7 linked regions of the Callithrix jacchus genome follow. The protein of the gene in region 1 interacts with the protein of each later gene in a pairwise test. Links are inferred from orthologs where the notes say so. Each region holds a gene or a part of one and is shown in the gene's direction. Other genes may lie near its edges.

Region 1 (3,500 bases):
CGGTCTCCTGCGTGGCATTCTTTCTTTCTCTTTTCTTTCTTTTTCTTTTGAGAAGGAGACTCTCTCTGTCACCCAGGCTGGAGTACAGTGGCGTAATCTCAGCTCACTGCAACCTCCACCTCCTGGGTTCAAGTGATTCTTCTGCCTCAGCCTCCTGAGAAGCTGGGTCTACAGGCAGGTACCACCACACCCAGCTAATTTTTCTATTTTTTGTAGAGATGGGGTTTCACCATGTTGTCCAGGCTGCTCTTGAACTCAAGTGATTCATCTGCCACAGCCTTTCAAAGTGCTGGGATTACAGGCATGAGCCACCTCGCCTGGCCCCTGCATGGCATTCTTGCAGAGATCTCTGTACCTGCCACTTTGCTTCCAGTGCTCCCCTCAGCTTTTAGCTCTAGAAGGCCTTGCCCAGCTCCCTCTCCTCTCCCAGGTGGCCTCACTCCAGGAACAAGTGACAGCCCAGAGCCAGGAGCAGGCCATCCTGCAGCAATCCCTGCAGGACAAAGCCGCAGAGGCAGAGGTGGAGCGGATGGGTGCCAAGGTTGGTGTCTAAGCCCAGTAGAGACTCTGGGAGGGCAAGGGAGCCCCTTGTCTGGGGCTGCACCCAGGACTCAGGGAGAGACCCTGTCCTTTGCTGCATTCTCCCCAGGCCTTGCAGTTGGAGCTGAGCCGTGCTCATGAGGCCAGGCGCTGGTGGCAGCAGCAGACAGCCTCAGCCGAGGAACAGCTGAGGCTTGTGGTCGATGCTGTCAGCAGGTATCAGGGATGGAGGGGTGGATGGAATACTGTTTCTGCCACTTCAGTTTTCTGGAGCCTCAGACAAGAGGGGCTGGAAAGCTGGCCACTGGAGGCTACAGGAGGCTACAGCGCTGGGCACATTTAGCCCTATCAAAGTTCCTGTGTTTGTTTCTTTTCCTGGGGCAGCCCCCTCTGCATTCATACCTGATTACTTGTTATGAATTCCCCATTGCATGTTGGGCTGGAGGTGAGACCTTACTTCCTCCTGCAGTTCAGTCTAGTAATAGCTTGAGCTACATAGAGCACCTGGGAGGATCTTCACTTGCAGCATTGTTCAAGGATGGAGAGTGTGGACACTTCGTCATATTCCTTTCCTTCTCTAAAATTTTACAGGCATTCCCTGTTTCACTGCAGAAAAATTTAGTCTATTTATTTATTTACTTATTTTGAGACAGAGTTTCGCTCTATCATGCAGGCTGGAGTGCAGTGGTGCAATCTCAGCTCACTGCAACCTCCGCCTCCCAGGTTCAAGTGATTCTCCTGCCTCAGCCTCCTGAGTAGCTTGAGACTACAGGCGCCCAGCACCGTGCCCAGCTGATTTTTTTTGGAGTTGGAGAGTTGCTCTATCACCAAGGCTGGAATGCAGTGGCATGATCTCGGCTCACTGCAACCTCCATCTCCCGGGTTCAAGCAATTCCCCTGCCTCAGTTGCCTGAGTAGCTGGGACTACAGGCATATTCCACCATGCCCAGCTAATTTTCTTTTTTTTTCTTTTTTTTCGTATTTTAGTAGAGATGGGGTTTCACCATCTTGCCCAGGCTAGTCTCAAACTCCTGAGCTCAGGCAGTCCACCCACCTTGGCCTCCCAAAGTGATTACAGGCATGAGCCACCGTGCCTGGCCTAATTTTTGTATTTTTGGTAGAGACAGGGTTTCACCATATTGACCAGGCTGGTCTTGAACTCCTGAACTCAGATGATCCACCTACTTCTGGCTCCCAAAGTGCTGGAATTATAGGTGTGAGCCACTGTGCCCGGCTTAGTCTATTTATTTAAAGCTTTGTACTTACTTGGTTACTAGATATTCCCTCTAAAATGTAAGCCAGTTAGTTTCCTTCTAAATCAATTGCCAGCCTTTGTCTCTCATACCAACTGCCTAGCTGTTTCATTACCAACAATTGTTCTGTGACCTTCAGAAAAACCTCTAAGGAAACAGCAAAGCTTCTTTGTGCTGGTGATGACTTCCCCTCAGCCTTAGACATTGAGATGCCCAAGGCAGGCAGTTCTTAGCACAGTGTCTGGCTTGTGCATGTTTACTGTTATCTTTGAGGCTCTTCTTTATGGGTTAGATAATTGAGATAAAGATAATTTTTGGTTTAGTGAAATTAAGATGCAGGATGAGTTCTTGCCCACCACTTCCTTCTCTTGGATTTGTACCTTGGGAACTGATTCAGCTTAAAAAATTATTGAAAAATTTCAAACATGCACAGAATTAGACTAGTTATGATGACCTGCCACCCAGGTTCAATCCGTTGCATGTGCCTCCTATCTCCAGAACAGAAACATGTTCTGTGGACAGGGTTTGACTTTGGTACCATGAGATCACAGAAGTGGTTGTGTGTAATGATGCACTGCCAAAAGTCCTCCAGGCTTAAAGCAGTCCAAACTTGGATTGTTTCTGGGTTTATTAGATTGTCTCTAGGTAATTGGAGACTTCATTAGAAAATGGCTTTAATAAGAGCTGTGGTAGGTGTTGGAAGCTATTCAATTTCCAGATCAAAGTGATCTTTGCTGTGCTGCTGGGAATACAACTGCCAGCCTTCGTCATCATGTGTTTTTCTGTGGATGCAGACCTGAACTCTGTGAGGAAACCCCAGCCGGGCCCTAGACACTCCCTTGGCCTCCTCCCACGGTCTGTTTAAGCTGCTCGGTTTTCGTGAGCCAGGTTGGTCCTGCTTTTGGCACAGCCAGCTGGTAAAAGCTGGTAAAGCACGTGGACCTGCCCATCATTGGTGCTAGAGGATCGACACCCTGGGCTTGTTGGAGAGGATAACTTTGTTTTGTTTTTTTGAGACAGAGTCTTGCTCTGTCACATAGGTTTGAGTGCAGGGGTGCAATCTTGACTCACTGTAACCTCTACCTCCCAGAGTCAAGTGCTTCAGCCTCCCGAATAGCTGGGATTACAGGCGCACACCACCATGCCCAGCTAACTTTTGTATTTTTAGTAGAGACAGAGTTTCACCATGTTGGCCAGGCTGGTCTCCAATTCCTGACTTAACATGATCCTCCTGCCTCAGCCTCCCAAAGTGCTGGGATTACAGGCGGGAGCCCCCACCCCTGCCAAAGAGGATGACTTTGATCTTTGATGCATAATAGTGTGCAAAACACAGGTTGTAAGAAATAACCTTAACAGTTTGCTTGAAAAGATACAGTCATTTAATGCATTCTTGGGGCAAGGACCCTTTAGAAAATTGACAGAAGCTGTGCATTCTTTACTTGTATAACAGGATAGGATAAAGGGAATTGTCTATACAAGACACAGCAAGTCCTTTGGGAATGAGGGAGGCATGGAGGGTCAGTGACCTGTGCCCTCTCCAGCTCTCAGATCTGGCTCGAGAGCACCATGGCCAAGGTGGAACAGGCTGCTGCCCAGCTTCCCAGCCTCAGCAACCGACTCAGCTATGCTGTCCGCAAGGTCCACACCATTCGGGGTGCGTAGGGCGACTGCGAGCCACATCCTGCTCCTGCCCCACCAGCTCAGACT
Region 2 (3,500 bases), on another chromosome or scaffold:
GTAGGATCAGTATATTTGGATCCCAGTCTGAACATCTGAAGGTTTTACACAGATATGATATTTCTACATCTGTGGTATTAGCACTGTAGTGATAGCTAGTCATTCGTGGAGAAGAACATATACATGGGCCCATATACACAACCAGAGAGAGGAGCTAGTTTTCTGGGGCAGATTGCAAATGCTTTTAAAAGGGGGTATGGTCTTGTGCCCAGAGTGCTGATTGGGCAAAAGAAGGACATAGGCTCTTCTAGGATTTATTCTGTCACTTCAAAGTAGTTAAATTCTTTTTTCTTTTTCTTTTTTTTTTTTTTGAGATGGAGTTCCACCCTGTCACCCAGGCTGAAGTGCAGTGTCACGATCTCAGCTCACTGCAACCTCTGCCTTTCTGGGTTCAAGCAATTCTCCTTTCTCAGCCTCCTGAGTAGCTGGGACTACAGGCACATGCCACCATGCCTGGCTAATTTTTGAATTTTTAGTTGAGACAGGGTTTTGCCATGTTGGTCAGGCTGGTCTCAAACTCCCGACCTCAGGCCTCCGACTCCCAAGGTGCTGGGATTACAGGCATGAGCTACCGAGCCTTGCCAGTAATTAAATTCCTGAAGGTTGAATTGTGCCCTCTTTACATGGAAGAGAATACTACTCTCATCTCACTTCCTTTTAGTAATAAATTCTGGTAGTGATAAAAAAAAGGCCTTATTTATTTTTTCTTTTCTGTAGTGTATAAAGTGCAAGCCATTATCATTTATCCTGTTGAGCACTTTCAGTTCCTGATTACTGATGGGAAGCCTGTTGGAGAAGAGACCCAAAAGTCTCTAAAGATGGTGGAGCTGGTCACATTCTGCCAGAAAACTCAGTAGTTCCTGTCCCTGGGGAGAGGCCTTCAAGCGACAGAGGATTGGGAAAGTTATTTGGGCCACCTCAACAGTCTCTTTGCCTTGTTATATCCAGGCTCATGTTTCTTCCTTTCTCCACTTCTACTCAATTTAGGAGCCCAGGGGATCTGTGACTTGCTCATCACCTCTTCCCCTAATGGAAAAAACAATGGGAAAGGAGATGCATGCTGGCAGACAGCACCTGCTTTTTCTCTAGCCATAAAACAGCATTGAGATCTGTCTGATATTGGAAGATTTGGGTTTTTGGAAATAGGATGATTTTGGATGATTTAGTCTTCTCAACCCAAATTGAGCAATAGCTCATACTTTTCTAAAGATTTAAGGAGAGAATCAGGAAAGCAAAAATTGGAAAAATTAGGGTAAAATTAAGTCCTTATTAGTAAGGATTGTAATTATATTAAAAAAACCACTGGGGTTAATAGAATAACAGGAGCTAGAGTTCCCGACAGGAGGGAAGTATGATATACACACCACAGGAAAGGGCCGGAGAAGAGGAAGGGGGAAATGAGGAGGAAGGGTTATCGATAGCAGGCCCTATCAAACTGCCCCCAGAAAGGAATGGTAGAAGTTTAGAGCATGGCCAGCTACCAGTCTAAAACAGCCTGCTCTGAAAGAGTAGCCTGCTGGGGCTCCCCAGTTGGCATCTAAACAGCCAGGGTGTGATGTGGCTTGGGGTGACCCATCCAAGGTGACTGCACAGGGAGAGAATCGCAAGAGGCAGGAGAGCACAGAAGTGCTAGCCCCCCAGGAAGCTTACCTTACAGAGTAACCAGCTGCTCCACACCCGCCCCTGCCCACAGTGTGACACACTGCTGTCCAGACTGACAGAATTGCAGGAAAAGTACAAGGCCAGCCAGAAGGAGATCGGGCAGCTACAGATGGAGCAGTGTGAGCTCCTGGAGGATCAGAGGAGGTTGCAGGAGGAGCAGGGCCAGCTGCAGGAAGAGCTGCACAGGCTCACACTGCCACTGCCCAAGAGTGGCCTCTTACTCAAGGTAACTCCACTAGAGGCAGCTGCTTACTGTGGGGAAGCTGCTCTGAGAAGCTTCCCTGTGTGACCAGGGAAACATAAAAGGATGGGGATTGAACTTTTTCTTCTCTTTACCAACCACTCCTTACTTTCTCACCACTCTCCCCAAACCAAAAAGCTCGACAGAGCCAATTAGAGTTTTCTTATAAGACCTTCAAATCTTAAAATACCTTTTTACACTCTGGAATCTGTGCAGCAGTTTATATTTAGCTATTTAGTCCGTCTGGAGAAAATGCACCTGAAAGCACTTTGTAAACTACAAAATATATTCCAACGTAAGAGATCATTACTACTTTTATCAGGCCTCCATAGAAAGGCCCCCTGTCCCCCGATGGGCTCTGTGAAGCCAATCCAGAGATTCTTCAGGGAAATGTTCACGACGGGAATGAGGCACCAGGGAGGCATCAGACTTCCTTGTGGTAACCACCACAATCCCTTGCCTCCTTCCTTCTACTTCGCCTCAGAGTCAGGAGCTACTCACCAAGTTAGAAGACCTGTGGGAACTGCAGCTGCTCTACCAAGGCATGCAGGAGGAACAGAAGAAGCTGATACAGAACCAAGACTTCGTATTGAAAGAACAATTAGAGCTATATGAAGAGCTGCAACATTTCAAAGAATCTCATTTCCAGGAAGTGTTGGAGAATCCAGATGATTCCAAATTGGCTAAGTCCTCAAAATGTGATCGAAACAAGGTAACCATAGTAAGAGCTAGGGAGACAGTTCTCCTGAGCACAACAGCATGGCAGGGAGAGTGGGCACAGCCAAAGGGTCAGAGTTGGGAAGGCCTATTTGACCATGGGTAAGGATAAGGGTAAAGTTCTACCCTTCACCAGCTGTGACCACTCATAGGCTCCATTAAGAGGTGGCTTTTAGATACGGCCAAAGGACCTCACCTAGATGCCATTATCTTTTGTCACATTTATATTCACAGTGCTTAGCTGAAGCACTGTGAGCACTCAGGGCAGAGCTGGGATGACCCAAAGTCTGTAATCTGATCATTTGACTCATTCCCAGTAAGATGTATAGTATCAGTTTGGTGTTTGTTTGGATTCCTTTGGACTGACTCTAAACATGTCATCTTTTTTTTTTGAGTAGAAAAGTACACTTCTCAGTTATCGAAATCTATCACCTTTGGTGTTCTATATGAGGCAAATTTGGTTCCTTTCATTTACAAAAGAAGAATTCCTAGCATATGAGGTTCTTAGTACTGACCACAGTATCTTTATTGGAACTTTGGTGGCAATAACAGAGCAAGATCACAGGGGTTAGACCAGAAAATCAATGCCTCTCAAGTACCAGCAAGGGGTCATGCAGATGAGGTGACACAGGTGGAGATCACCATACAATTCTATTCAGGGGTGGGGGATAAAGTTGTTCTGAGGTCTCAGCGTGGGCAAGGAAGGGCAGGTAGACAGTTTCGATTTAGGCTGAATCTACTCATTCAGATCTTAGCCGAACGAGGAGAACAGGGAGTAGCAAAAGTCAACGTGAGGCTGGATCATATTCCAGGGGCATCAGATGTCCAGGCTGGAGGCCTGGGTAACACAGAGCTGGGAACCAGGTATAAAATATTTCCT
Region 3 (4,066 bases), on another chromosome or scaffold:
CTGAGTTCAAGCAATTCTCCTGCCTCAGCCTCCTGAGTAGTTGGGATTACAGGTGCCTGCCACCATGCCCAGCTCATTTTTGCACTTTTAGTAGATGCGGGGTTTCATCATGTTGGCCAGTCTGGTCTCGAACTCCTGGCTTCAAGTGATTCACCTGCCTCGGCCTCTCAAAGTGCTGGTACAGGTGTGAGCTGAAGTCAGGAGTTCTTGACCAGCCTGGGCAACATAGTAGACCCTGCCTCTAAAATACAAAAGGAAAGATTACATCGTACATTATACAGCAAAAGTTCTTAAACTTGTTTTAAAAATGTATCTCTTCCATTAAGTTTCCACTCTCTATGTAAGTTGCGTATCCCTCTTTTTGTTTTGCACTATCTCCTCCAGCCTCCTTCCAAGTCCATTAGGAAATACACACGTATACACACACACACACACGTACGTGTGTTTACATACTAAAACATATATAAACATTAATAATGCAAGATGGATTGTAAGAGGTATATATATTTTAAATATATAAAAGATATGTAGGTCTCCATTTCTTGGGGGCCCTGGAGGGGAGAAAGTCACACAAATACACGGATGTATATAAAAATGAATGTATGATCAGATATATACAATATATAAACGGGCAGATATGAAATCCTCTTGGTGCCAACGAATCCATTCATTCATTCATCAAATATCTGAGCGTCCACTTTGCCTAGAATCAAGTTATTTGTTGGGATGAGCAAGGCATAAGAGGTTCTAGCTCTAATAAAACTTAAAATTCTACTGGAGGAAGACAAGAACAAGTATAAAATTTAAGCAGTGGAAGTGCTGTAAAAACAACACAGAGCTTTGTGAGCGTGGTGAAGAGTGAATAGAATGCTCCTAGTGTTCCACTGGGTGTTCGGCAGGGGGAATGTAATCCAAGGTGAACTATGAGCCGAGATTCATTTTATAAACGGGAACACTGACACATGGACACTTGAAGGGCCTTGGTGGCCGTAAAACTAAAGGCAGGATCCCATCTGTCTTGGTGCCACTCTCCGGAATAGCAGTTTGGGAACCGGAGAAGCCTAAGGCAGCGGGTCGTGGGGTCCAGGGGCGCCTGCGCAAAAGGACGCCTTCAATTTGACGTCAGCGCGCCGGATTCTGGCCCGCCCCCTGTGACACCAGCCCTTCCCCGCCCCCCTTCCCACCAGCGGGCTGCCGCGCATGCTCCGAGCCCCACCTCCGTGCGTCACAGAATGGCCTCGGACACCCAGGCAGCCCTGACGTGTCGGGGAGGAGCCGGGCGCGGAGGTGCGCGGAGTGGAGCTCGGGGCTGCGGAGGGGAGCCGAGCTGAGAGGCTGGGTGGGCCTGGCCAAGCCAGCGGAGCGGAGACGTCGGTCGAGCGGCGGCGAACATGCGCTTTTGACACATTGGAGGTGAGCTTGCAGCGCAGGGCCACTCCCTAAGGGGCTGCGCCGGGCTGGCGGCGCAAAGGCCTGCCCTTGGGGAGCCTGCCCGGCCCGGGGCCGTGTCTGACGCTCCGCCGGGGCGGACCCGGCGGGGTTCTGGGGCGGGTAGCCCGGGGCAACTGTTCCAACCGCTCTAACTGTCCCCTTCCTTCCCTGTTCCTACGTTGGCATCCCAGGGGCGCCTGCAAGAGAACGAGCCCTGCGGTCTCTGGAGGATGTGCCCCGTTCCGGGGTGGGGTGAGGGATGGCGGTGACGGAGGCCAGGACGTGGCACCTTGAGCCCGGGCGCTGGCGGCGCAAGGAGTGGCCCAGTCGGAGGTGGCAGCGGCGCGCTCAGCCCTCCTCCTCTCCTCTCCCCGAAATTCCTTCAGTTGCGAGGGTGGCTTGGAGCCGGGTTGGATTTTATTCTCTCAGAGCCTCTTTCCCATGGGAGGCGAGAGCGCGAGCAGCCCACGTTGGGCTCGGATTGGCATTCCCCTGACTTCCGCCCCGAACTGCTAATCATCCTCCCCTTGGAGTCGGGAAAGTGTCACCTACGGGCTCGGGTTACTTGTGCTCGCCTCTTTTCTTTCTGTAAGCCACGAGATGACCCTTTTAAGTTTTGCAGAGGAAGCTAGAGTTCTATCACTACTGACGATTACCTTCTATTTACGTAGCGCTTTTACACGTTTCAGAACACTCTTCTTCCTATTTCTTTTGAACCGCATCACCTGGTGGTTGCAACTGATTATGTTATCGCCATTTGGATAGAGACATTCAGCTGGGATGGGGTAATTGATTTATACAACCAACTGGTGAGTGGCTTAGCTTGGATCGTAATTTACATTTCTAGGCTCGGAGTTCTGGTTTCTTTTCGTGGGATTTTTATATCCTTCTCAGCTAGAAAACAAGGCAGAAAATGTGACTTGCCAAGATATGCCAGATTTTATTTTTGAGCAAACTCACCTAGGATAAAAACTGCTGCTCAGTCATGAGAAAAATCTTACTGTGAAGCTTGTTCAGGAGTTGCTGGTTAATTATTTTGTCTGATAAATTGTGTTGCACTTAATGTGCTTAAAAGCTAGGGTAATGGCTTTGCTAAATCATGAAGCTGATGGGCACAATGCAGCGTTAAGTCATGGGCTGAAGAGAAGTAAAGGGAAACTAAGAGATATATCTTCTGAATTATTAAGATTATTGTTATTTAAAATTTGAATGTATGAGGAACAAAGAAAATCTTTGGCCAGTCCTGGTTAGAGGTTGACTTGATCCAGATAGAAGTTGCTAAATCTTCTGAAGCTGTAGTTCTTTTGATTTTTTTTTTTGGTGGGGTGGGGGGGGGAGACGGAGTCTTGCTCTGTCGACCAGGCTGGATTTTTAAAATTAAATAAATTGAAGTTGGATAAGGAGCTTAAAATAAGTAGGAACCTTAGTAAAACCTAGGTCTTGCTTTCATGACATCCGCAAAACAATTTATTTTTATTTTCATTGTAAACCATGCTGAGATAAATTTGGTTACTAAAGCTTAAAACTGCTTCTGACGTAAGTTTCTAAACACTCCATAAAAAAAATAGTCTGATAAAATCAGAGAGACCATGTTTATGATCAACTTTGAGGAGTTAAAAATTCTGTAAATGTCACCTTTGCGAGTAGTAGAATTTCAGTAAAAAGGCATGTGTTACCAACAGTCAGTTTTGGAAGAACTCTTCCAACCTCACTAGTCCATTTTACAACTGTTAACAAGCAACAATATTATTTAAAATAGATTATCTTACCATTGTGCAAAGAGTAATTCCTTGTAAATAAAAGGCGTTTTGGACAGGCTGTTTTAAACCCAAATGAGTTGATTGTTGCTAGATTTCTGAAGGTCATACACAGTATGGTAATGCTTTTTGTAAAAACTGTCATGCTTTTGAGACTGTTGGTATTGAGACCTGGTATTAAATATGGGGTGGGGGCAGGTGAGAATAATACATAATTATCCGTCTTCATTCTAGTTTCAGAAAATTGTGAATGTACCATTAGAACATTGTTTTAGCAATATGTTTTCTATATTAGCTAACTGTCTATAGCCTGAATATCTCTAGTTACGTAGTTTCAAATAACACAGTGAACACATCCTCCCAATGTTACTTGAAGCAAACTGAACAGACTGTAAAACAGTCCTTGAAACTGTCTTTTGAGTAGCTGCAGTGGTAGCAAATTTTGCTATTTGTAAAGAATCTGATTTTTATTTTTACTTTTTTGGAGACAGGGTCTCATTTTGTCACCCTGGAGTGCAGTGGCACGACTATGGCTTACTGCAGCCTCAACTATCTAGACTCAAGTGATCCTCTCACCTCACTCTCATGAGTAACTGAGACCACAAGGTGCGTGCCACCACGCCCAGCTCATTTTTGTTAGAGATGGAGTTTCGGCTTGTTGTCCAGGCTGGTATTGAACTCCTAGACTCAAGTGACATTCCCATCTCAGCCTCCCAAAGTGCTGGTATTATATGCCCGAGCCACTATGCCTGGCCAGAATCTGATTTTTGAAAAGGGTAAATCTCATAGATAAAAAGTAGGGTAATGGAGCTGGATAATACCAGTTAGGAAGCAATTACAAATGAGGTGTGACCACAAAGTAAGAAGTTTTTGCTTTG
Region 4 (3,500 bases), on another chromosome or scaffold:
TATGCTTTTACTTTGGCATGTTCTGTCTGTCTGCAACACACTGTCTTTTCTCACCATCCTGTATAGTTAACTTTAGCAGGAGTACTGCCTTTTCAGTAAGTCTTTCTCCAACTGCTCAGACACACAACCTCCCCACTCTGTTTCCTTTGTATATATTATACATATCTTTCTTAGAGCAATTTTCAAAATTATAGTATAATCATTTCAATGCCTGTTTTCCCCTGTACTGTAAGCTAATCAAATGGATGAGTGACTAGTTTGAAAAATGAATGTTCTGTAAATGAATACTTCAGGATATTTCCTTTGCTTTTGTCAGAGGTTCAGATGGTTACACTACTTTTAATCTTAGGCATCCAGATTGTTATTGCCATTGCTGGTTGTGCTCTAAAGTTGGCAAAAGTTAGTTTCACCATAGCCACTTTGTATTCTCACACCAATTCCTTTGACCTAAAAAAAACTTTTTATTTTGAAATACGGCTTCATAGGAAGTCTGAAAACTAGTGCAGAGGTTCCATGTACCCCTCTCTCATTTGACCCCAGTGGTAGTTCTTCAGACTTTTATGTCATTTTTCTGTTTGCTTCCCTAGCCCCCGTATAAGTAACACATTTATTAAGGAGGAAAAAGTGTGATTCAAAATTTTTTTCATAACATTAATATATTAGAAAAAATTACATCCCTAAAATAAATATATAAAGTTCTGTTTGTACTTTTTTTTGGAGACGGAGTTTCACTCTTGTTACCCAGGCTGGAGTGCAATGGTGCGATCTCGGCTCACTGCAACTTCTGCCTCCTGGGTTCAGGCAGTTCTCCTGCCTCAGCCTCCTGAGTAGCTGGGATTACAGGCACGTGCCACCATGCCCAGCTAATTTTTTTTGTGTTTTTAGTAGAGATGGGGTTTCACAATGTTGACCAGGATGGTCTCAGGGATATACTTTTTAATGTCTACTTCATTATGTATAAAATAATCCTTTCCCTCATGCTTGTTTAATGTTATTTTAACTTGGGTTATAATTTTACTCATATTTTGGATGCTGTAAGAATCCAAGAATAGTTAACAATTGTGGCCTATATTTAGATGAATATTGAATCCTTGCTATAACTCTGCTCTTGGAGTTGGAGCTGAAGAACCTTGTTAAATGGTATGGCATTTCAGTGCTTTTATTGTTTAGCTTCCTGGGAGCAGGTCCAAGGCCATTCTGCTTTATACCAAATTGTTTATTGTAGCAAGAAGAGGGATTATACGTCTCTGGTTGAGTGAACTGATAAAATTATTTGGATGTCTTTTGTCGTATTGTACTACTTTCCCAAATCATTGTTGTGCTTTTGATTTTCACTGTAGATAATCCTCCAAAAGGAGCTTTGAAGAAACTGATTCATGCTGCTAAGGTTTGTGTTATTACATAAATGTAAAGAATAGGGAGGAAGAAAGAGAACATGGTTTAAACTCATATCTCCTTAGTAACTGTTTAAAAAGTCCATTTTATGTTCCCAAAGAAATATATTCAATAAATGATCAGAATTTTTGTCATCAATTGCTTTTTACTTTTAATTATTAACTTTATAAATTTATATAATTTTTAGAATTTATCAAAATAAAAAATTCCAAGTTCTATACTCATTTTTTCAGATATGAATATATTTAAAATGTTTTTTGTATTTTGTCTTGTACTTCCCTCGATCATTCTTTTTTCTTCTAGTCGAAATATTTTCTCACCCCTTCTGCCCTATATCCTATTTTGAGAAGTAAATACTAGGTTTCTTTTTTTCTGGTTTATTTCTTCTCTTTTCCACCCTAGTGGAGGTTTCCTAATTTTTGCTGATCTATATGAAGTCTTGGTAATGTAGTTTGAAGGCTGCTTTAATTAAAACTTTTGTTGAAAGTAAATAGAATGAAAATAGTCACTTTTTAAGCATCCAGTGAAAAGCATTCACTACTTTTCTCTATCCCTTGTTCTGAGACTTAACAAGTATTAATGATTTTGCTGGTTTTTTAAGATGGAAGATGCATTATTGGTTTCTGTATTCCAGGTGATAATTCATCAAAATGATAAAATAACTTAAAAAGTGTTGGGGGTGTTATAATGAGGTTTTTTTTTTTTTTTTCTGTATAACTGATTAATGTTCCTTTTTTCCTTCTCTTCTTTAAAGTTAAATGCTTCTTTAAAAACCTTAGAAGGAGAAAGAAACCAAATATATATTCAGTTATCTGATGTTGATAAGACAAAGGAAGAGCTTACAGGTAGGTCATCTACATACATACTTTTAATGTTTTTCTAAGTACTTCTCCTTTTAGAGAATGGTAAAAATTAATTGAATAAATTTTGGGAAGATCCAATTTGATTTTTTTTTTAACTTTTGTTCCTTTTGGGTATTGTGAAACATTAGTCCTGATTTTAGTTGTCATTGCTAAAGGCATACCAATTTCCTCTACATTTATGTGAAATTAGTGAATTTTTTAGAAAAACATGTAAAACCATATTTATCTTTGAATATATTACACTGTTATGTGTTTGGTATGGTTTTAAATGTTAAAAAGTAGCAAATTGAAACTTGATGTTGAAAGTCTTTGTTAATTGAAAAATTGATCTTTCAACTTTAATGTTGAAAGTCTTTGTTAATTGAAAAATTGATCTTCAGTAGTGGTACTACTTGCAGTATGATTCAGTCCTTTAATGTACATACATAGTATATTAGCACATGCGAGAGTGATGTTAGACTTGTAGAAATGAAGTTTTTGTTTTAATTGAAAACATTTATGTTTATTTTGCAGATAGTGTTTGTATTTTCAAAAAGTAAACAAGTTCTGTCAATATGTTTGAAAAGTTTTAAAGTTGGGATAAATAGCATCTCATTTTGTACAAATAAAAATTAAAAAAATTTACCATATACATTTGCATCAAAAAAGACCAGAAGGACATACTCAAATGTCAGTAGTGATTATCTCTGAATATGGGATTGTGGACAGATTTTTATATTCTTTTCACTTACCTGTATTTTCAAAAACTTCTACAGTAAGTGAACTGTATTTATAATACTATTTTAAAAGATTGAACCACCAAAGATAGAGGTTATTAAAAATTATCATATCCCTGGCTGGGTGCAGTGGCTCATGCCTGTAATCCCAGCACTTTGGGAGGCTGAGGCAGGCAGATCACCTGAGGTCGGGAGTTCGAGACCGGCCTGTCCAACATGAGAAACCCCATCTCTACTAAAAATATAAAAATTAGCCAGATGTGGCAGTGGGCGCCTGTAATCCCAGCTACTCAAGAGGCTGAGGCAGAATCGCTTGAACTTGAGGTGAAGGTTGCAGTGAGCTGAGATTGCGCCATTACACTCCAGCCTGGGCAACAAGAGCAAAACTGTCTCAAAAAAAAAAAAAAAAAAATGGTTGTATCCTACTCACATGATTTTAGTAATTGGATTATTTTTGGATTTTAAGAAACATTAGTATTAGTTTAAGAGAGTATATAAAGCATTGTACTAAAAGTCATGGGAGATT
Region 5 (4,014 bases), on another chromosome or scaffold:
CGAAGACGGGCACCAAGGCGAAAGTGGAAGACCTACACGCGTGAGACAAGAGTGGGTGGGGTCAGGAACAGCCTCGCCCACCAGCCAAAATTCATAGGGAAGCCAAGCCACAGCCCCAGGTACGTCCATGGGGTTCCTTCCTCCCCCTTCAAACCAGGGTTTAGGACTAAGCCTCGCCCTCTCCGAATACTAAATTTGTCCTTTCTTTCCCCAAATCTCTGAGCCCCACACACCACCAAGGAACTCGCTTTATAGGACCGATGCCCCACCTCTTCCCCCAATACGGAACCTAAGGGTGTCCCGGGGGAATTACCTTAGGCCCCTCCCATCCACCTCAGAATATTTCGCTTCATAGAAAAACTCAATCCTAGGGACATTTTCTTCCAGCCACGCCCCTTCCTCTAAAATATTTCCTTTTGGCCCCACTGCCTTCCTAGTTTCCATCCCAAATCAGTTCCCAGGGTAACCGTCCCAGATCCCAGCCTTTTAATGTTATCCACTCAAATCCCACGCCTCGCCTTCCCACTGCCCCTCCAAGCCCCGCCCCTCATTGTTTAGCTCCGCCCCCGATTCCTTAGAGGCCCCGCCTCTTTGTCCCATCCCTCAGCTAATGGTTGCCTTGGCCCCGCCCCTTCTCATAATGAACTCCCTAAGTCCCACCCATCGTGACGACGTGGTTCTGGTTCCACCCGTTTAAAGGGGTTCCTCTAAGCCCCGCCTTCTGCCCTGTCAATCTACGTGAGTCCCCGCCTCAGCAGGTGCCTAGTTGAAATAAAAGAAAGCTGTGCTGTGAGTCAGAGCAACGTGGAGCCGGAGAGGTGGAGGAGGGTAGAGGGGATTGGCAGAGAATGGCTACCCGAACGCCCCGTCTACACATGGCTTTGCCCCCGAGGGCCAAAGTGCATGCTCCGCCGCCGGAGCGGTCCAATTGCTTTTACACCGCCGCCCTCCTGGGGATCAATGCGCGTGTGTGACGCCGCACAGGACCCGCCGCTCATTCATACGGGGCACTAGTGGGCTACTGCGCAAGAGCAACCAAGCACGCACAGAATCGTTTAGAAAAAAGCACACCCTTCCCTGGAATGCGCAGCCGCAGCCGCACGCGGGCTGACAAACACCAAGTCTAGAACTCTCCCACCCGGCCCCGGGCCCAGTGCGCATGCGCACCCGCGCGCCCTCGGCCCACCGTCCCTCTTCCGCGCCTGCGCGACCGTGATTCTCCGCTCGTGGTTCCCCACCCCCAGGGCTTCCTAAAGAGGGCCACGAGCTGCGAAAGCGCGGGAAAGGCGGTTGGACAAGGAGAGGCGAGCGGTTACTCACTCCATGGCTGCGGCAGGAAGAGGCAGCGGTGGCCTCGGCTGAAGAAAGAAGGTGGGACGGAGAGCGCAGGCGCGGAGACGGGCTGGGGGCACAAAGGGGTCGCGGCTACAGAGCCATGGCCGGGGCTACGCGGGCGGAGGAGGCGACGCTTAGTGAGAAGACTGTGAACTGAGGTCGGGGAATGAGGCGGCCCCGGGGACTGGGGATAGATATACCCGGGGTGGCGCAGTACGGCCCTCCCGGATCCTTCCGCGCCCCGCCCTCGCGCGGCCCCAAGCGGGAGGCAGCCCGGTCCCCTCCTCGTGGGGATCAGAGGATCCGACTCCCTGCTTCCCACTCACAGGATCGGGCCCTCTCCTGCTTGTGGCTCCGAGGTCTGGTTTTTCCTCCTGACTCTAGGCTCTGGTTTCTCTTTCTGCCTCTGAGGTCTGGGCCTGCTTCATTCCCTTCCCGCAGACTCGCACCGATTAATTTCCCTTTCCCTGCTTCCAGAATTTCCTGCCAGCCACACTTTTCATCTCCATCCCCCAACTGCTGACCCTTAGAACCCTCGTGGGTTAGAGTCCAGCATGAGTCACAGCCCCCTCCGCAACGCAGACCTGCCAGGGTGGCCTCGGGCAAATAAGTTCCCTCACCTCGTTTCCCTGTCTGCAAAATAAGAAAATCAACTCTCGTAGCGGATTTATGAGACTCAAGACAATGTGTCCGCCAAGCTTTATGCCCAGAGTTCAACTCATACATTCCTGTTCAACATTTTTTTTTTTTTTTTTTTTGAGAAAAGAGTGTCGCTTTGTCACCCAGGCTGGAGTGCAGTGGCACAGTCTCGGCTCACTGCAGCCTCCCCCTTTAAGGTTCAGGTGATTCTTCTGCCCTCAGCCTATCGAGTAGCTGAGACTGCAGGCACGAGCCACCACTCCGGGCTAATTTTTGTGTTTTTAATAGAGACGGGGTTTCACCAGGTTGCCCAGGATGGTCTCTATCTCTTGACCTTGTGATCCACCTGCCTCGGCCTCCCAAAGTGCTGGGGCTACAAGCGTGAAGTACCGTGCGCAGCCATATTTTATTATTAATAGATACTCTGGGGCCCAGTCTCACTTCTTCCTCCCTGCTTGCAAGAGCCGCAGGCGTTGGACTGTCCAACACCTGCTGGTGGGTCATTCTTCTGTCTCCCTCATTCCTCCAAAGTGTCCACTTCCAGCCGTCCTCACCTCCCATTCCAAAGGATGGGTGCCCAGGCCCCATCCCCTGGCAGGGATTCATGCATCGAGGCCCCAGCTTCGTTCTTTTCTCCATCCCTTGCCTTGGCTTCCTTTCAGACAGGCTTTCTTAGCCTCCACTGGATAGGAGCTGTCTCCCAAGCCTGCCAAAAATGGAAGATCTCCGTTTTCCTTTAGTCAAAGACAGGGTAGCCATCTTGCCCCTTCTCCTGCACTGGGCCCTCCGCCAGCTGAAGTGGATGTTGGTCTTTTCTCTGTTGCAGAAAGCCACCTTGTCCAATCCACATCAGGACATCCCAGCTGGAGTTCAACCTTCATCTCTTCTGTGGCAGTTAAGAGAGTGAATCAGGGTCCAGAGAAGGTGTAGGAACCCTGGTATTGAGCGTTACACACAAACTTCTTTGTCCTCCCTTCCCTGTGGCAGGCAGGAAGTCCTTCTCGGGATCTGACCACCTTCTCTTGGAGCACTTACTGTCCACTCTCCCAGTTTCTGAGCACTTGTCCTGTATTTCCTTTGGCTGAGGGGCTGTGTTATCACCTATGCAGTATGTAACCTAGCAGCTCAGAGCACAGACTAAGCTTGTCCCATCCGGGGGTCCACATGTAGCCCAGAACGTTCTTAAAACATTATGCAGATTTTTTTGCAGTTGTATTTATTTATCTGTTGCTCATCAGCTATTGTTAGTGTATTTTATGTGTGGCCCAAGACAATTTTAGTGTGGGCCCAGGAAGCCAAAAGAGTATCCATCCCTGGCGTAGACTCTGGAGCCAGATTATATGAGTTCAAAACCTAACTGCACCCCACTTATTAGCTGTGCGGCCCTAGTCATTTCCCTTCCCTGTGCCTCAGTTTCCCCTTTAGTACAAAGTGGCATTAAGAGTGCCTGCTGCTGGACCAGGTGCAGTGGCTCACACCTGTAATCCCAGCATTCTGGGCAGATTGCTTGAGGTCAGAAATTGACCAGCCTCGGTAACTTGGTGAAACCCCATCTCTACCAGAAATATAAAAAAATGGCTGGGTGTGGTATTTTGCGCCTGTGGTCCCAGCTACTCGGGAGGCTAAGGCAGGAAGATCACTTGAACCCTGGGGAGGGGCAGAGGTTGCAGTGAGCCGAGATTGGGCCACCAGACTCCAACCTTCAGGACAGAGTGACACCCTGTCTCAAAAACATTTCCTACCTCTTAAGGCTGTTACGAGGTTTAAAGACTGCCTGGTACACAGTAGGTGCTGCGTAAAAGCTGGTTACTGTATTGCTGTAATTAAGGTGGATGTGTTCTCTTTCTGTTCCTGTGCAGTAAGTGCTTTCAAACTATGACTGGTCATCCAATTTACAAAGGAGATTTCGGGACCAACTTCCTTCCACTTCTCAGTACAGGTTTTTGAGCAAATGCAGATGGAATTAAGGGTAGACTGTTGGACCGACTGGCAGTGGTAAGAAGGCACGCTTGTGCCATACCCACCCCCCACCCCTGCCGA
Region 6 (4,300 bases), on another chromosome or scaffold:
ATGTGCCACCCTGCCCAGTAATTTTTTCTCTTTCTTTTTTTTTCTTGCATTTTTAGTAGAGATGGGCTTTCACCATGTTGGCCAGCCTGATCTCAATCTCCTCACCTTGTGATCCACCCACCTCAGCCTCCCAAAGTGCTGGAATTACAGGTGTGAGTCACCATGCCCAGCTTTTACTGTGATTTTTAATCTGACATATATACATAAAAACTCATGGAAGATTACTTAATCCTTAATTCGCCATTTTTTTCTAAAAATACAACCTGAACATGAGAATTCCTACAGAGAAATTCCATACAATTCCTTGGAAATTCTATTCATATGAACTTCAAAGTAAGTATATTATAAATTCTACAAACTGCCGTGCGCGGTGGCTCACGCCTGTAATCCCAGCACTTTGGGAGGCCGAGGCGGGTGGATCATGAGGTCAAGAGATCAAGACCATCCTGGTCAACATGGTGAAACCCCGTCTCTAATAAAAATACAAAAATTAGCCGGGCATAGTGGTGCGCGCCTGTAGTCCCAGCTACTCAGGAGGCTGAGGCAGGAGAATTGCCCGAACCCAGGAGGCGGAGGTTGAGGTGAGCCAAGACCACGCCATTGCACTCCAGCCTGGGTAACAAGAGCGAAACTCCGTCTCAAAAAAAAAAATTCTACAAACTATAAATTATACAAATTTCTTGATTTTTTCATAGATATGAAATACATATTATATATTTTTAATAGACCCATACTTCTTTATATTAAAAGGTTTATTTTATCATTTCAGGACAGAGAAAGTGGATGAAGTTATTAAAGAATGGGAAGGTTCTTTCTTTAAAGATAACCCTCGATTGAGGAAAAAATCTGTTTCTCTTCGATTTGATCTTCATTTAGCAGCCACCGATGAAGGGTGTTTACAGACTAAGCAGGATAATCTACCAGATATAGAAGTCAGGCTTATCATGAGACGATCATGCAGTATTCCCTCTATCAAACCTCCATCGACAGCTGATTAATCCAAAGATAGTATTTGACTTGATTTGAAAATGTTAGGATGGTCCAAGGTGGGCCACACCGACTCCCTTTGTCCCAAAATGTAAGTTATTAAGTATGTATGGAAAAGGTTATGATCAATATGTGGTTCTCTTCAGAAGAAAAAAAACAGTTAAGGACATTTCTCTGAATCTAATTATGGAGATATACATATATATATATATATAAATGAGGGGGTAGCTTAAAAATAAAATCACAAATTCAGTACAGTCTATTTCTTATTTTCCAAATAGTCTTCTTTTTCCCTTGAAACTTCATCAGAGACTGTAAGCATTAACCTGGTTTAGTAAAGTCTTTGTAATTTTTTTCAACGGCTGAACACTCTAAGGAAAAAAGAATTGTTTGAGTAAGATTGTATTATGTTAAGAGTCACACTGAGTTATTCATCATTATTCCATGACTAGTTAAACCTACAATGTTTGTTCTATTTTTCAAAAACAGCAATTATAAACAAGTTTTTTAAGGGGGACTCACTATTCACTTAACGAGAATTCTTCCTTTTTAGAAAATCATTTATATACTCAGAAAAATAAGAGTTATTTTCCATGAGAAATTCTGAGCAAACTATTGAACACACCCCAAGGCTAACTGGATAAGTAAAATTAAGTTAATCTATACATATCTAAATGTTTTTTAAATAAGTATCTGATTTCCAGAAGATTTACTTTACTCAAAGAACTTTAAAGGTTGTATCCCCCACCAAAAAAAGACAAAAATCAGAAGGCCAACTGTACAAACAAAATATGAAAAGCAAATTGAAAAGGTAGTTACTATCATTATCAGAACAGTTACCCGCCATCCCGGTTTTTCCACCTGTACAGCCAAATGTGATTAGAGTGTTTGCTATCAGCCTTAGATAAGATACTATATAAAGTATTATAAATATTTCTTGCAATCATTCATGTGAACTAAGATAACAGTAATTGTTATCTAAGCTAAGAGTGTTTGCAGGATTTGTTTTTAAATTGTTCAAATTGTAATAAATATGGGTAGAAAATATATTTGTGAATAAGTGAGGTATTGTTGCAAAGTTTTTAAAATAACCTAATTTAATACAGGTATATTTAAGATCTTAAATAATAAATACCTGTTTTAAGACATTAGAAATGTATAAGCTCTTAATTTTTTTCTAAGCAGAAAAAGTAGTTGAGTACAACTCACCATACTTTTTCCCAGCTAAAGTATCATCTAAGGGCTCCAGCTATGTTTGCATTTTAGTACAGCCTTTGCAGCCTTTAAAATCTCTCTCTCTCTCTGTACATATATACATATATGTACATATATATATGTATTTCAACCAGAAAAAATATATGATTTAACCAGGAAAATATTATATTATTTTAATATTTAACATAATACAGGGATAAAAATTTTTAATTTTCTTTCAATTACTTCAGATTCCTTTTAGTCTGGCTTATTCTATTTAATGAAAAGGGATGATTTTGTTTTGTCAAGGATATAACAGCATGTTAAGTGCTTATTCTTGCATAAGCATTTGACCTAAAATACATCCTATACATGAAAAAATGTTTCATTCAATATTGCTAAATGCTACTAGCTTTATTAAAGCTTTAAAAATGCAATCATATAAGCTATTGTACTAAAGTTACTGTACGAAGCAGCAGTGATCATAATAAAGCAATATATCTAGCATCATGTATTTCAGTGTTAAAAAAAACTTAGTACTGGGTGTCATGAATGTAACTGCTTGTAGTGATTTCAGTATGTATCTATGGGGTATATAACATGTACATTTAAAAATACAGTTCTTGAATTTATAACGAAGTTTTATTCACTCTGAGGCATTTAAATTGGGATATGAATTTACCAAGGTAATGATACTAACACAATTTAAAAAAGCAAAACACGACCAGGCACAGTGCCTCATGCCTGTAATCCCAGCACTTTGGGAGGCCAATGCAGGAGGATCGCTTGAGCCCAGGAGTTCAAGGCCAGCCTGGGCAATATAGCAAGACTCCATCTCTATAAAAGGTAAAAATAAATAAAAATGAAAAATTGAAAAAATTGAAACATGAATGCTAAAGCTGCATTGTATGTGAGTTTGAACACAGTCCTTTAAGTTCAAAGTATCTCTGCATGGTTAAGTGAAGCAAAGAACTAATTACTCCAATATGGTTAGTTCATTTGGGGAATTAAAAAACCTGCAATCACAGTAGATAGATAATGGTTTTTAACTTGTTTTACAAAAGAAAGTATTAAAATGGTATATTTATATTTTATTCTAATTTTTTTTAATCAAAATAATCACATAATCCTATAATTCTGGGAAAAGTATAATAATGGCAGCACCATTTGCAAAGTACTTACTCAGCTGCAGTCACTGTGTTGAATCCCTAATCCTTCCTTACAACAATCCTACAACATGAATAATATTATCCTTGGTTTATACAAGAGTAGAAATTAATATTCTTGAATCGCTTGGAAATGTTACAAATGCATGCTTGCATAACAAAATACAAAACTGAAGAGTTATTCCAATTACTAACAACTGTAGGATCCTAGCCCTGGCTCTGTCACTAATTAACCCTGTAACCAGGAGGGACTACTTTAAGTTCCTACGTCTCAAGTTTTACATTTGAAAACAAAGGAAAAGGTAATGCTGGGTAATAATTCCTACTCTGCCTATTTTACAATTCTTTGAAATAATATACAAGCAAAAATATTTGGTAAAGCACTGCTCAGATACACAGTACTATTTGGAAGAAAACTGTCTTCAGAGAATTTGTGGGGAAAATTATAGCTGACAATGATTAAGTAATAATTCAAAACACAACGGGTAAAGATACTATTTTGGTTTTTGGGGTTGTTTGTTTGCTTGTTTTGAGACTGAGTCTCACTCTGTCACCCAGGCTGGAGTGCAGTGGCATGATCTCGGCCCATTGTAGGTTCAAGCGATTCTCCTGCCTCAGTCTCCACAGTAGCTGGGATTATAGGCATATGCCACCATGCCCAGCTTATTTTTGTATTTTTGGTAGAAATGGAGTTTCACCATGTTGGCCTGGCTCATCTCCAACTCCTGACCTCAGGTGATCTGCCCACCTCAGCCTCCCAAGGTGCTAGGGTTACAGGCATGAGCCACTGTGCCCGGACAAGATACTATTTTTAATTTTTCAATTACTGCCAGAAAAGCAATTCTTTCCCAATAAGTCTCACCCAGTTTGAACTGTTCTGTCATGATAGCTTTTAAAGTACTAAAATATTCTGTATGCCAGGCACAGCGGCTGATGCCTATAATCCCAGCATT
Region 7 (4,261 bases), on another chromosome or scaffold:
TACTTAATGCTTTTTGCCCTGAAATCAACCTTAAGTTATTTGTGATTCCTGATTTTTGTTTATTTTTTGCATATTCCTTGGCATATCCTTTCCAGTCTTGTATTTTCAAACTCAGAATAACTTTGCTTCAGCACTTTCTTTATTTTTTTTTTTTTGAGACAGAGTTTCTTTCAAGGCTGGAGTGCACTGGTGTGATCTCGGCTCACTGCAACCTCCACCTACAGGTTCAAGCAATTCTCCTGCCTCAGCCTCCCGAGTAGCTGGGATCACAGGCATACGCCACCACGCCCAGCTAATTTTTTGTATTTTTAGTAGAGTTGGGGTTTCACCATGTCGGCCAGGCCGCTCTCGAATTCCTGACCTGGTGATCTGTCTGCCTCGGCCTCCCAAAGTGCTGAGATTAGAGGCGTGAGCCACTTTGCCCGGCCAGCACTTTCTTTTATACAACATTTAGTTGCACGATGGTTTGTGTTCCAATCTGAGCCTTTTTTTAATAGCTAAGCTTAGGTCTATATTTCTTCCTGTGAGACATTTGGTCTTGTTCTGTCATATAGTTTGGTTATGCTTTCTGTTTTGTAACTTTTTCAAATATTTCCCTACGTTGCTTTGTTTGTTTTGCTGTGGTTGTGTGTGTGTGTGTGTATTATTTGAAAGATTTGTAGTTTTGCTCTGCGTCGCCCTCAGAATTATGCCATCCCATGACGTCCTTAATCCTCTATTTCTTTGGTTTTCTTTTGCCTCTCCATTCTATTTCTTTTTTTCCTCTCATTTCTCATTTTCTTAATCACTGGATTTTAATGGATTATAGTATCTTGGTATATTCCTTCGGACTAAGACGTCTGCTTAAATCTCTACTATTTGACTTATCGGCTTGAACTCTATTTGACACCCAATTACAGATGTAAAAATCACATTTTCCCGAAGTCCCACGTTCCCTTCCCCTCCCTACTTCTGTCAGCGACGTTGTTGTTAAAGATCGAGGCTTTATAGCATTGACATTCTTTTCTGTACCCCAATCGCGGCATCTGTTTCCTTAATCTTATGCTCAACCCCGTGCTCCTTGCCATCCTTTTGCCAGCATCTCGGCTATGCAGATTTATTTTCAACTTTTTGCTTTTGAATGAATGAGATCGAGAGACCTGGAGACACTCACTCCCCCACCTCCCCCAATCAGAAAGCGCGGCCTCGGACCACTTCTCCTTCTTACCATCTGGGGGCGCTGCCGCGCGTTCCTCAAACTTTGTGGAATTTCGAAAACGTGCACCCAGGCGACACCTCTTGGTGGTAGAAGAGGACGCCTGCTGAGGGGAGCGTGCAGTGCGGTCCTCCCGCGGGCAGGGGGCAGTGCGGCAAGGAGCCCTCGGCGCAGGCGCAGAGGCCAAAGCAGGCCTAGGCGCAGGCGCAGGCGCAGGCGCAGGCGCGGCGCGCTCTCCCGGCAGCCCGCGCTCTCTGACCCCGCGCAGCCGAGCGCCCTGAGGACTCAGCGAAGGGTGGGCGCCGCCAAGGGCTCCTGCCGCCGGCGGGTTTCCGCGGAGTGCCGCCCGGCTCCGCGCTGCCGCCGCCGCGGCCCATGGGCAGAGTCGGCTGGGCGGGCCGGGTAAGTCGCGCCCTGGCGGCCCCAGGGGGGCGGCCTGGCGGGACCCGAAGCGGGCGCGCCTTCCCGGGAAGCGCTGGACGCGAGGCCGCGGCTTTAGGCCGCGTCGCGAGGGGTGGGGGCCGGGCCATCTCAACCCGAGCCTCCGCGGGTCTCAGTCCCCGCAGCGGGCCCTGGCCTCTCCGCTCGGCGGTGGCCCGGTACACTCCGCCCGCCGCCGCCTCGGGTGACCCGGGCTCTGGCCTGCTCCCTCTTCCCCTCCTCCTCCTGTCTGCCTCGGGCTCTTCGGCCCTGAAGAGCGTTTCGCCTCCACTTCGTGCACCACGTCCTGACGAAGTTGCCCGGTCCCTAGACCCGGAGCGTGTCCCCCAACCTGGCCCCGCACAGTTGCCTCTCTCCCGGGCTCAGAGAAAGGAGCCGATTCTTCCCCGGCTCTCAGAACTGGGAGTGCAGACGTTGGCGTTTCCCAGACTCCGGAGCTCCCCGAGACGGGAAGGCAGCCCGGACCCCGGCGTCGCCTCGGATCGTGCCGTTTGAGCGGTGTTTCAGCGCGCACTTCCGACCCCAGGCAGTCCTTGAGCTTCACCTATTGCCCAGAGGATGGGAAATGATGAGAATGCAGGTGGAGCGAGGTTCTGCCCTTGCTTGCAGGAGTTTGGTTTCTGGGAAAGCAGGCGTGGAAACCCAGGCTCGGTTTGGTGAAGGACGCGAGATCTTGAGAGAGGAGGTGATGCTTATGTTGAGTCTTGAAGGTACTTTGTTAGATGTGCGAGGTGGGAAAAAAGGCTCCTGGCGGAGGAAGTCACGGCGAAAGTAGCAGAAGTGAAGCGCCGTAGTGCGTTCTGGAAGCTGCAGGTGAGGCAGAGAGGAAGGTTTCAGGAGGGGGTGCTGTGTTTCGAGGAGTCGTCCGGTCAGAACATGGAGGTTTCTTGAGGAGCAGCAAAGGAGCGCCATTGAGGATCCTTATTGCTAGAGCCTGGCATATGGATGGAAAATAGGATATTCTAGATCAGGGCAGGATACGCATATACTCAAATAGACGGGTACATGAGCACTGGCTCCCTGCAACAGATGGAGTTTTTAAAGGATGCAACTCAGTTTCCAGATTTCTAGTTGGTAAAGGCTGCAGACATTTTGATCGTAATGACAGCTTTTAGGGATGATGGGGTAACAATTTATGAGCTAAACGAGAGGGCTTTATTTTTAGAGTTAGTTAGGCAAGGTGCTGCGTGCTGTCCAGTTTGTAACAGCAGGTTGTGCGATCGTGGACCTCTGCGGAACCAAAGACAGCCTTTCTGGAGGCTCTTGAGAGGATTGTTGTACACTCCCAAATGCAGCTTTATTTAAAGTGGATTTCTTTTTACCTGGTTTGTTTTAAATTACCTTCATTCTCCTCTGCATATGAGTTTTTCAGACCTCCCCGCAGCAGGGAGCAGATGATCCCAGGTTAGTCATCTCTCAAGCCTTCCATCATAGTCAATAGTGAAGAATGTTCTGTTACGCTCCTAAATTATAGGTGACTCTATTGGACTGTGTTTGCAATTCTACCCGATGGCATTTTGAGAGTAGCAGACTGTGAGAATGAATGGAAAGATTAAACTGTCAAGGGCAGATGAAGGTATGGGGAAAATTTTTTTCAGTTCTTTAGAAAGTTATGGTAGATCTTATACATGAGGTAGATGCCTTTTTTGCCGTATTTTTTGTGGACATCAAAGTGCACCACCCCTCCTGTTCCTTTCTGTGTGTATTTGCCATATTCTTTTTTGTTTCTCCTGAGACGGAGTCTTACTGTATGGTCCAGGCTGGAGTGCAGCGGCGCAACTGGCTCACTGCAACCTCCGCTTCCGGATTCAATGATTCTCTGCCTCGGCCTTGAGTAGCTGGGATTACAGGCGCTCGGCATCACGCTCAGCTTAATTTTTGTGTTTTTAGTTGAGATGGGGTTTCACCATATTGGCTAGACTGGTCTCGAATCCTGACCTCAGGTGATCCTTCCGCCTTGGGCTCCCAAAGTGCTGGGATTACAGGTGCGAGCCACCTCGCCCAGTCTTACCATATTCCTTAGGTTTCAAAGAGGTATGCTTTGTTTTATGATGCATGAATATCTATTTAGTAATAGAAATATTTCTTCCTAACACGCCTGCTTCTTTAGGTGCTCAGAACTCAGACCTTGACCTACTATTGGTTGTGTGGTGGTGGTAGTTTTTCTCTCCTTAATTATGGCTTACAACTTAAATTTTATCCTACTTATCTTAAGTTATGTCCTCAAAAAGCAGATCTGCAGTGGCCAGGTGCTGTGGTTCACGCCTGTAATCCCAGCACTTTGGGAGGCCAAGGTGGATGGATTACCTGAGGTCGGAAGTTTGAGACCAGCCTGACCAACATGGAGAAACCCCAACTCTACTAAAAATACAAAATTAGCCAAGTGTGGTGGTACATGCATCTAATCCCAGCTACTTGAGATGCTGAGGCAGGAGAAATGGTGGTTGCAGTGAGCCAAGATTGCAACATCATACTCTACCCTGGGCAACAAGAGCAAAACTCTGTCTGAAAAAAAAAAGCAGATTGTGATTTAAATAGGTGCATTAACATTTTCCATCCATTCACTAACATGTTTAGAAAATATTAATAGAGCCACTTGCAATGTTCAAGCATGGTGCTAAGCTA

What was found.
Region 2: the proteins of CCHCR1 (region 1) and CCDC136 interact in binary tests that used the Homo sapiens proteins (3 or more experiments, as listed by UniProt). The link is inferred for Callithrix jacchus from reciprocal best matches to the Homo sapiens genes CCHCR1 and CCDC136.
Region 3: the proteins of CCHCR1 (region 1) and NDEL1 interact in binary tests that used the Homo sapiens proteins (3 or more experiments, as listed by UniProt). The link is inferred for Callithrix jacchus from reciprocal best matches to the Homo sapiens genes CCHCR1 and NDEL1.
Region 4: the proteins of CCHCR1 (region 1) and MIA2 interact in binary tests that used the Homo sapiens proteins (3 or more experiments, as listed by UniProt). The link is inferred for Callithrix jacchus from reciprocal best matches to the Homo sapiens genes CCHCR1 and MIA2.
Region 5: the proteins of CCHCR1 (region 1) and NUP62 interact in binary tests that used the Homo sapiens proteins (3 or more experiments, as listed by UniProt). The link is inferred for Callithrix jacchus from reciprocal best matches to the Homo sapiens genes CCHCR1 and NUP62.
Region 6: the proteins of CCHCR1 (region 1) and SMARCE1 interact in binary tests that used the Homo sapiens proteins (3 or more experiments, as listed by UniProt). The link is inferred for Callithrix jacchus from reciprocal best matches to the Homo sapiens genes CCHCR1 and SMARCE1.
Region 7: the proteins of CCHCR1 (region 1) and RBM17 interact in binary tests that used the Homo sapiens proteins (3 or more experiments, as listed by UniProt). The link is inferred for Callithrix jacchus from reciprocal best matches to the Homo sapiens genes CCHCR1 and RBM17.

The regions. Positions count from the first base shown.
Region 1 is NC_133505.1:35,967,947-35,971,446, reverse strand, and holds part of CCHCR1 (coiled-coil alpha-helical rod protein 1), read left to right. Parts: intron 1-430; coding exon 431-541; intron 542-649; coding exon 650-756; intron 757-3,334; coding exon 3,335-3,447; intron 3,448-3,500. UniProt on the Homo sapiens protein: May be a regulator of keratinocyte proliferation or differentiation.
Region 2 is NC_133512.1:118,372,540-118,376,039, reverse strand, and holds part of CCDC136 (coiled-coil domain-containing protein 136), read left to right. Parts: intron 1-1,693; coding exon 1,694-1,888; intron 1,889-2,387; coding exon 2,388-2,615; intron 2,616-3,500. UniProt on the Homo sapiens protein: May play a role in acrosome formation in spermatogenesis and in fertilization.
Region 3 is NC_133506.1:74,958,185-74,962,250, forward strand, and holds the start of NDEL1 (nuclear distribution protein nudE-like 1), read left to right. Parts: upstream 1-1,266; 5' UTR 1,267-1,413; intron 1,414-1,620; exon of another isoform or gene 1,621-2,019; intron 2,020-2,120; 5' UTR 2,121-2,240; intron 2,241-4,066. UniProt on the Homo sapiens protein: Required for organization of the cellular microtubule array and microtubule anchoring at the centrosome. May regulate microtubule organization at least in part by targeting the microtubule severing protein KATNA1 to the centrosome.
Region 4 is NC_133509.1:73,965,949-73,969,448, forward strand, and holds part of MIA2 (melanoma inhibitory activity protein 2), read left to right. Parts: intron 1-1,340; coding exon 1,341-1,387; intron 1,388-2,149; coding exon 2,150-2,240; intron 2,241-3,500. UniProt on the Homo sapiens protein: Plays a role in the transport of cargos that are too large to fit into COPII-coated vesicles and require specific mechanisms to be incorporated into membrane-bound carriers and exported from the endoplasmic reticulum.
Region 5 is NC_133523.1:43,702,823-43,706,836, reverse strand, and holds the start of NUP62 (nuclear pore glycoprotein p62), read left to right. Parts: upstream 1-1,214; 5' UTR 1,215-1,371; exon of another isoform or gene 1,372-1,503; intron 1,504-1,661; exon of another isoform or gene 1,662-1,853; intron 1,854-2,800; 5' UTR 2,801-2,868; exon of another isoform or gene 2,869-2,912; intron 2,913-3,833; exon of another isoform or gene 3,834-3,969; intron 3,970-4,014. UniProt on the Homo sapiens protein: Essential component of the nuclear pore complex. The N-terminal is probably involved in nucleocytoplasmic transport.
Region 6 is NC_133506.1:92,613,396-92,617,695, forward strand, and holds the start of SMARCE1 (SWI/SNF-related matrix-associated actin-dependent regulator of chromatin subfamily E member 1), read left to right. Parts: upstream 1-1,500; 5' UTR 1,501-4,300. Other genes in the region: keratin-like protein KRT222, read left to right, coding at 770-998. UniProt on the Homo sapiens protein: Involved in transcriptional activation and repression of select genes by chromatin remodeling (alteration of DNA-nucleosome topology).
Region 7 is NC_133508.1:7,706,231-7,710,491, reverse strand, and holds the start of RBM17 (splicing factor 45), read left to right. Parts: upstream 1-1,461; 5' UTR 1,462-1,597; intron 1,598-4,261. UniProt on the Homo sapiens protein: Splice factor that binds to the single-stranded 3'AG at the exon/intron border and promotes its utilization in the second catalytic step. Involved in the regulation of alternative splicing and the utilization of cryptic splice sites.